Linked DNA regions of Mus musculus. The protein of the gene in region 2 purifies or fractionates together with the protein of the main gene of each other region. This does not show direct contact. Links are inferred from orthologs where the notes say so. Each region holds a gene or a part of one and is shown on either strand. Other genes may lie near its edges. The genes, in order: Gemin2 and Nckipsd.

What was found.
Region 1: the proteins of Nckipsd (region 2) and Gemin2 purify together in Homo sapiens (co-immunoprecipitation; 3 studies listed by BioGRID and IntAct, counting the BioPlex papers as one, with this or other methods). This does not show direct contact. The link is inferred for Mus musculus from reciprocal best matches to the Homo sapiens genes NCKIPSD and GEMIN2.

The regions. Positions count from the first base shown.
Region 1 is NC_000078.6:59,012,015-59,016,252, forward strand, and holds the start of Gemin2 (gem-associated protein 2), read left to right. Parts: upstream 1-1,376; 5' UTR 1,377-1,462; coding exon 1,463-1,599; intron 1,600-1,955; coding exon 1,956-2,040; intron 2,041-4,238. UniProt on the Homo sapiens protein: The SMN complex catalyzes the assembly of small nuclear ribonucleoproteins (snRNPs), the building blocks of the spliceosome, and thereby plays an important role in the splicing of cellular pre-mRNAs.
Region 2 is NC_000075.6:108,806,946-108,811,470, reverse strand, and holds the start of Nckipsd (NCK-interacting protein with SH3 domain), read right to left. Parts: upstream 3,092-4,525; 5' UTR 2,988-3,091; coding exon 2,817-2,987; intron 650-2,816; exon of another isoform or gene 569-649; intron 426-568; coding exon 316-425; intron 1-315. UniProt on the Homo sapiens protein: Has an important role in stress fiber formation induced by active diaphanous protein homolog 1 (DRF1). Induces microspike formation, in vivo. In vitro, stimulates N-WASP-induced ARP2/3 complex activation in the absence of CDC42.

The DNA.
Region 1 (4,238 bases), on a different chromosome or scaffold from region 2:
GGGAGGAGGCGGGGAGGGGCGACCAGCGAAGGGGCGGGAACAGTCCCGGAAGAGGCGGGGCGCGCAGGAGGTAATGGGCGCGTTGAGTGGCGGAAAAGATGAACCGGGAGTAATAAAGAGGGTGGGGCGAGCGTGAAAGACGGCCAAGCAAAGCGGAGGGCGGGGACAATTCAGGAAGGGGCGGGGCTAGCAGGAAGCGATGCGATAGCCAGGGCGGTGGAGGAAGGGAGGTAACCGGAGTAATAAAGGGTGGGATGTGGCCGCTCGAGGCCGTGTGTAGGATTAAGGTTAAAATACCTGACTAGGGCATTGCTAGCCCCAGAAAAAAAGAAAAAAAATGTTAACCACCAGATGTAGCTTTCACGTCTACTGTTTGCTTGAACGATTGTTTTTGTTTTCTAGTATATAGAAAAGGCTCTTGCAAGTTTTTTTCCTGACATTGTATCCGTGTCCAAAGAGGAGAAAGAACGAAGCACGAGTTAACAATTATTTGAAGTATTCGCTAGAAAATAGATGCTCGGATTCTCCTCTAATTTTGGGTTTTCGTCTGTGTGTTGTCAAGAGCCAATGAGAAGGCTTGGCTCAGGGACCTCACTTGCCTAGAACTCATAAGGCAGAAAAAGAAACTTTACTCCCAGAAGTTGTATTCTGACCTCCTCACCGACCCACAAGCAATCGCAAAATAGTAATTTTAAAGTTTTTAAGTATCTCACTCGGCTAGTGGTGATGGTTCATGCCTGTAATCTCAATAGTCAAGGTTAAAAAAAAAAAAAAAAAAAAAAAAAAAAAGGCAGCCCAGCTTACGTTACACTGCAAACTGTAGACCCTTCTAAGCCACAGAAGAGACAGTCTCAAAAACCTAAAAATTATCCTCGTGTGATACTTGGTACTCCAGAAGCTGAGGCCAGGGGATCGGATCACTACAAGTTTGAGACTCCTTGAGCTACCTAATGAGTTCCAGAACAGCCTCAACTAAACTTTAAGATGCTATCCGAAAAAGTGAAAAACAAAACAAAAAGTTCTGCATTCATCCACTCTGTTCCCCGCGAAGTCAGAAAGACACCACCCTAAGGGGTTGTAAGATTTAGACGAATGTAACGTGTTTACAAATGGTTAAAGGCTTTAGTACTCTAAAAATGACGATTATAGCGATATTGTTCATTAATTTTAAAAATATTAAAGATTTCAAAGTTCATCCTCAGTCCCTGCCGCCTACCCAAGCTTTAGACGAGAAAATGGGATTAGACAGAGCGACCTAGAAACTCTTCAGGAACCACTTCTGCCAGGAATTATTCTCGAGCGCTACATTCCACCACCGGTGCCATAAGCTTGATGCAACCAGCAGGTTTCTTGTGTGGCTCCGCCCCCTTGCGCCTGTAGCCGGTGGCCTCGGCGGAGGTCGCTTAGGCGCCTGCGCCGTGCCTACTCTGGGCGCCGATTGAGACTGGCGGGAGCGAGAACCATGGCGTGGGTTCCAGCCGAGTCTGCGGTGGAAGAGTTGATGCCACGGTTGTTACCTGTGGAGCCCTGTGACTTGACGGAAGGTTTCGATCCCTCGGTCCCCCCCAGGACGCCTCAGGAATATCTGAGGAGAGTGCAGTGAGTGATTTCGCCCCGTGCGAGTGGGCTGGTTGTCGTGCCCCTGTGTACAGCCCTGGTGCCGCGCCTGACCCTTGGTGTGCAACAGTCCCTCCTCTGTTTGCGTTCCTATCTTTCGGGAGGTCCGGGAAATTTAAGATCTTATTACACCCTACGGTTGGCAGATAACTTTTGAACTTGATTGCACGTTAAGACGTGTGTTCTTAAATTTCTTTGCTTTTCATCTAGGTGTCAGGCGTTTCGTTTTTTCATTGGGAGCTTGCACTTTTATTTCCCATTTCATAATAAAGTAAAACACATCTCTCTATTCTACAAAGCGAAATAATAAGTATCATGTATGTATTACTTAATTGTAGGATCGAAGCAGCCCAATGTCCAGATGTTGTGGTAGCCCAGATTGACCCAAAGAAGTTGAAAAGGAAGCAAAGTGTGAACATTTCTGTGAGTTTAACCAACCACCTGGGAATATTTTAACAACACACACATATACAACACGAACATTTTCCTATCATATCAAAAATATAAGTTATGGTGTGTATAAGATTAGATTGCTCCTTATAAAGTTAGGCACCACTTGGAAGCTAACACAGAGGCGTTTTGGTCTGGAGGCCAGCCTACATTGAGACCCTCTGGAAAATGTGTGTGTGTGTGTGTGTGTGTGTGTCATTTAAAAGATTACTTCCCCTACCCCCAAAAAGTACTTCAATTGTTTACTAATATTGACCTTTATAGCCGGGCGTGGTGGCGCACGCCTTTAATCCCAGCACTCGGGAGGCAGAGGCAGGCGGATTTCTGAGTTCGAGGCCAGCCTGGTCTACAAAATGAGTTCCAGGACAGCCAGGGCTACACAGAGAAACCCTGTCTCAAAACAAACAAACAAACAAACAAACAAAAGTACTTCAATTGTTTACTAATATTGACCTTTATAAATAATTAAGGATATTTTTTTCTGGATATACCTTTATAGTTATTTTTCAGGGTGGTGCATTGTACACTTTTTCAATTTGACCTGGTATCATTTTCTCAGTATAGAAACACAGCTGTCTTGGCAGCTTTCTGTCCATATTCTTTATTCATTTGCTTAGCCAGCACACTTTTTATTGAGCAGTTAGGTTGTGCTGGGCACTAAGAACACAACAGAGGATCATAAAGAAAAGGTCCCTAAAGACCAGGCCTGTTGGTAAGCACGCTTGTAATCCTAGCACTTGGAAGTAGAGACAAAAGGGTCAAGAAGTCCAGATCATTCTCAACTACATAGAAGATTCCAGGCTACCCTGGAATATATAAGACTCTCATCTCAGAAACAAAGGAGAAAACTTCCCTATGCTTGTACAGTATCGGTCTCCTGAAGGGCACAAAGAATAGCCAAATAATTACATCATCTGGTCATTGCATGAAGAAAATAAACAGCACTCAGTAGTCAAAACTATAGGGCTAGAGAGATGGCTCAGTGGAGTCCTTCCAGAGGATGCAGGTTCAATTCTGAGCAGATAGTGGCTCACAACCATCTCTAGCTCTAGTTCCAAGGGCTCTGATGCTCTCTTTACACCTTTTCAGGTACCACGCGTGGATATGATACATAGACATGCATGCAGACAAAACACTCATACACATAAAGTAAATAAAACTTTTTAGTTTAAAAAAAAAAATCTCAGCCATTTACGGTAGTACATGGTTTTAATACCAGCACAAATGAATCAGAGGCTAGCCCAGTCTACATAGTGATTTACAGAACATCCAAGACCACATAAGGAGACTCTATCAGGAAAAAAAAAAACAAAACAAAACTTGGGAGTAGGAGGGTGTTTCCTCAGGGAAGATTATATGAAACCTGAGGTCAGGTTTTTCCGTTTTTCAAGGTTTTTGACAATGTATGTTTGAAGTAATTCCTCTAATGTTTATAATTAGGACATTTTAATTCATGCACTATATATAACCTTACATGTTTTCACTAGACGCACACGAGTTCATGTGTACTTGGTCTTTTTTCCAATTTACCCCACTGAGTTCTGTTAGAAGGTGATACCTGATTATTTGGGGTTTTATAAAACATTTTTTTAGACTTGTTTCCGTTTTTGTTGTTTATTTTATGTATGAGTGCTCTGCTGCATGTAAACCTGCATGCCAGAAAAGGACATCAGACCCCATTACAGATGGTTGTGAGCCACTACATGGTTGCTGGGAATTGAACTCAGGACTCTGGAAGAGCAGCCAGTGCTCTTAATGGCTGAGCCATCTCTCCAGCTTGACACCTGATCATTTGTTAACTGTGTGCTATTTTGGAAAATAAAAGTAAGACTTGGCATGTTGAGTATTTAGCCACCTTGTTTGACAACTCTGGGGTTTCAATCATCACCATGCCAATCCCCACCTGTCTTAGTTAAGGTTTTACTGCTGTGAACAGACACCATGACCAAGACAAGTCTTATAAAAACAACATTTAATTGGGGCTGGCTTACAGGTTCAGAGATTCAGTCCATTATCATCAAGGTGGGAGCATGGCAGTATCCAGGCAGGCTTGGCACAGGAGGAACTGAGAGTTCTACATCTTCATCCAAAGGCTGCTAGTGGAAGACTGACTCCCAGGCAACTAGGGTGAGGATCTTATACCCACACCCACAGTGACACACCTATTCCAA
Region 2 (4,525 bases):
CATGCATGCACACACAAATGCATGCACACACATGCATGCACACACATGCATGCACACACATACACACACACACATGCATGCACATACTCTCACACACATATACACTTTCTCTCATATATACACTTTAAAATAAATCTTTTTTTAAACCCCCTGCGGGATTCTGGGACCTCACAGTACAGGCTCCTCATCGTCCATCTTTCCCATCATTCATCCCACTCTGTGGAACCTCGCACTAACCCTAGTACTGCCTCCAGTGTCTCTGGCCCCACCAACACGCTCAAGGGAAGGTATTACCTCCACTTCCCAGATACTCACTGAAGGACTCCACGCTGTTCCAGGCTGTACTTGCCGCCATCTCGCATGGCTGTGTTGTGCACAGCCTCAATGGCACGGTCAATAGCTTGGAGGACATCTTGTTCCATGCCCTAAAGGTAGGTGGGTAGTTAGACCTGGGTGCCAAGTGGGATTGGTCAGCCCAGACCCAGCCCAATCTGGAACTAGCCTAGAATTCTGGACACTAGAAGACAGCCAAAATGGAATACAGAATGAAGTGGTCAAATCGTGTTACCTGGGACTCTGTGATGGTATTTTATAGTTTACATTTAGGGGCTTGCATACACAGGCTCTCGGCAAAGACAATTCTAAAAACCTATAGAGAGAAACCATAGGAATCCCAGATTGGGACCAGGAGTCCAAACCTAGTCTCTCCCTGGGCTTGGCTCAGAGCCCAGCATGAGATGCCAAAAGGGAAGACTCTCATGTCTGGGATCCCTAATCAGTCACTCTGGATGCTGCTCCTTCACAAAGCCAAGGTCACACTCCAAAACAGCCCTGTCCCCACAGGGACCTTCCCACCCACAGGGACCTTCCCAAGCGCTGGGAGGTAAAAACGGGTCAAAAGGACCTCCCTTCCTTCCACCCTCCCAAGCTGTCCCGCCACTTTTTCAGACCACCTTTGGGAAGGCACTCTGCTTCTGACAAAGGAGGGACTTGAGAGACTGGCCTGATTCCTGCCTGTGTGGCCGTCCTCAGTAACCCAGGAGTCCGTTCTACCCCACTGTCTGGCATGGAGGGAGGTGTGGATTACAGCGGTGGGGTTGGCCAGCTGCGGGACAGGAACCCCAGAACAGACCTAAGCACACATTAGGGTACAGTCCCGTTTGTTTTAGTTGGCTGGGTGGCTGGTCTTTTGAGATGAGAATCTCTGCAGCTCAAGCTGGTTTGGAAGTGGCTATGTGGCCCAGGGCTGGCCTGGAGCTCAAGGTACTCTTCCCGAAGCCTCAGACTGTACACATAAGTCACCGTGTTTAGTTCCGGAGTGAGTTTAAGAGGCTTCCCTGGATAGGGCCAAATAAATATAGGGGTCAGCAAAGTCCTTCAGATGGCAGAAGGTGTGTGGGCGGGGCAGGGAGAGACAGCAACAGCGACAGAAAGGGAAAGTTTTGAAAAAGAAGGGCAAACACCAGGTGGAGTAAAAATGAGACAGAAATTCGCAGTCGGGGGAACTGAGACTAGGGGTATGACGAAAGAAACAGGAAGTGATCCGAGAAAGATCTTTCCTTCCCAAACCCTCCAGCCCCACTGACCCTGGCTAGAGCAGAGGCTCCACAGGGCCTGACAAAGAGGCAGGGCTTCCTCAAAGTCTCCAAAGAGACCTGGGTGCTCAAAAAGCTGAGCTGGGTGTGACACAGTTTAGATTTTTCTCACCTGAACACCTCTAGAGGAGACTGAGAGTCTGTGAGGAGGACCCTAGAACCAAGGGTCCCTCGTCTTTAGCAAGACCAGATGACATTTCCAAATTTATCACAGTATTTCTGTCCTTAACTGGGCTGGGACAGGATGTTTCCATAGCTAGGGACTATGAGTCTGGAATAGCCCAGACTGCCCTGGGTCCCCTTCCTCCTGCAGTCAGAATAGGCTAGCTGGAGACACTGCAGCAGGACTACTCTTGAGCAAACAGGAACTGGAGCAGGCTCCACTGGAAGGGGACCAGGCCATCTTCAGAACGGGAAACCATGAAGGAGGCTCACTTCCTCACAGTGTGGACAGCTCCCATTCCAGGATGGAGCGCCCAGATTTCAGAGGAAGGAAACCAGAGAAGTCAGGAGTGGAGGCTTGGGAGAAGTGGGGGCTGTGCCAGGGAACCTTGTCTATCAGCAGGGGCCAGGGGCCTTGGTTCCTGAAGGGTTGGGGAATTGTCCTTGGGGAGAGCTTGATAGGTGGGCGGGTTCGGGATACAGAGATACTACAGGAATTGGGACTCGCATAAGGGACAGGAATGCCTGTGGCTCTGGGGTCCAAGTGTGTGGGTGGGGTGGGGACTAAGAACCTGGAGGGTGGTTGAGGAAACAGGTGGTGTATGAGGTGGCACAGTCAGTGGTGGGCACGGTGATCTTTACAGTTAAAGGTGGAGGCTACAGATTGATGGGAGATGGGCATCCTAGGGATTCAGGAAAGGGGAACGAATAGGGTTTGGAGGTCTAAGGGACTTGGATAATGAATGGACTGGAAGTCTCTGGATCCAGCTCGAGAATTCAATGCAGATGGAGGCTCTGATTATCGATGACAGAGAGTCCCTGTTCCAGAATTAAGCTTTTCACGGGCCTGCGGTTAAATGTCAAAGGCCTAGTCTCGGGTGGGTGTTGACGGCCCTTCCGGAGGGGTCTCAGTCCTTACGGCTCTTGGGACTTAAGGTCAGAGTCTCAACCTCCTTGTCTGGTAGAAGTCCCGAAGAATCTGACTGAGCTTCCTGGATCGGTTCTGCGTGCTGGTGAAGGGGTTCGGTCGAGAGGCCTGGGACGGAGGGACACACTCACCTGCAGGCGATGCAGGTAGGCAGGCGGCACGTACCCGGTCTCGCCACTGCGCGCCCGTGCTGCTAACCACCAGTGCGTGCTGCTGCGCTCCAGCACCAGGAAGGTCTCGCCTGCAGCGAACGCCATGGCGTTCGGCTCCGCGGAGCGGAACGCATACAGCGCGCGGTACATGAGGCCGGGCCGGGCCGGGCCGCGAAGCGCCGGGGCTGGGTACGCGACGAAGGTTGCGGTGCCGGGAAGCCAGGCCCTGAGTGCCGCGCCGCCCGGCGCTTGCCCCGCCCCGCCCCGTGACACGCCGCGCGTGCGCATGCGCGACCGCCGGAACCCCGCCCCAGGAGCGAGTCGGCTCCAGTATTGGAGCGCCGCGCCCCCTCGCGGCCGAGAGAGGTTTGGCGGGGCGGGGTGGGAGTCTCCAGTTCCTTCAGGCCTCAGACTCCAGTCAGCTGACTTAGGGTCCTAACTCCCTCTCCCTGGCTTTCCTCCTCCTTTCCCAGCTCAGGTGCAAGCGCTGCGTTCCTTCCCACCTCCTGATGAAGGATGCTTATAGCCAGTGCGTCCCTGGGGACGGGGATATGGTGTTTTGCTTTGAGGAATCCTGATCAGACATTTGGAAGTTCTTTCTGGGGAGGGGTCTCCCCAGCGCATCTAGGCCTCACAGTGCCTTAGTACAAAGTCCCTACTCTGTCGCTGAGGTGGTGGACAAGTGTGGAGGGCAAGGGACAAAACCAGGTTGTACTGTCCAGAATGCATCTTTGCTACCCACCACATATACACTCCCTTCATATATACTGGCTTCTTTCCTATCTTGAGTCTTGCATCTGTTCTATTTGAACACTCCCTTCTGGACCACGCCCCAACTTGTCAATGACTATCCTTTTGCCATTTTTGTTGTTACAAAAGGATTTAAGTCTATGACCTAAGGTCATATTTACTCATAACGAATCAAACTGCGTGTATACATGCATCTCCTGTTTTAAAAGGCTGTCTGTTACCAACCCTGTCCTGCCCCAACATCACAAATGGCACTGGGGAAAAAAAATGGTTAGGGCAGAAGGCTGATAGGGTAGGGACTGAACACATGAGGTTTAAAAAGCATGTTTTGAGTTCTGAATGGTGGCATGATCCCAGCATCCAGGAGGCAGAGCTGTAGAAAGCCAAGATCAAGACCAGCCTGGGCTTCATAGTAAGAATCCGTCTCAAAGAAAGAAAAAGCATCCCTGACCTTCAGTTTAATATTCAGCCTAGCCATCCACATCTTTGAAATCCTTGGCATCCCTCGGTCGTAGTGAAGAAGGCCTAAAGGATCCTTGCATACTCTCCACTAATCTAAGGAGCACAGGATATACACACCATCAGACAATGTTCCAAGGCAAGGTCTCACTGTGTAGTTTTGGCTGTTCTGGAACCATGTAGACCAGGCTGGCCTTAAATCCAATGATCCATCTGCCTTTGCCTCCCAAATGCTGGGACTTAGGGCAGGTGCCACCACACCTGGCTTTTTCCCCCTAAAGACAAGGTCACACTAGCAGCACCAACTGGCCTGAAACTAACAGCAATCCAACTCCCTCTGCCTGAGTACTTAGATGAGCCAGACTACACCTAGACTTCGCTAATCTATTTTTAGGCATGGTGGAGGTAGGCCCAGTGGGATGTGGGGAGCTGCCAGAAGGCTCAGCCAAGACAAGAACTTGATATCCAGACCCTGGCTT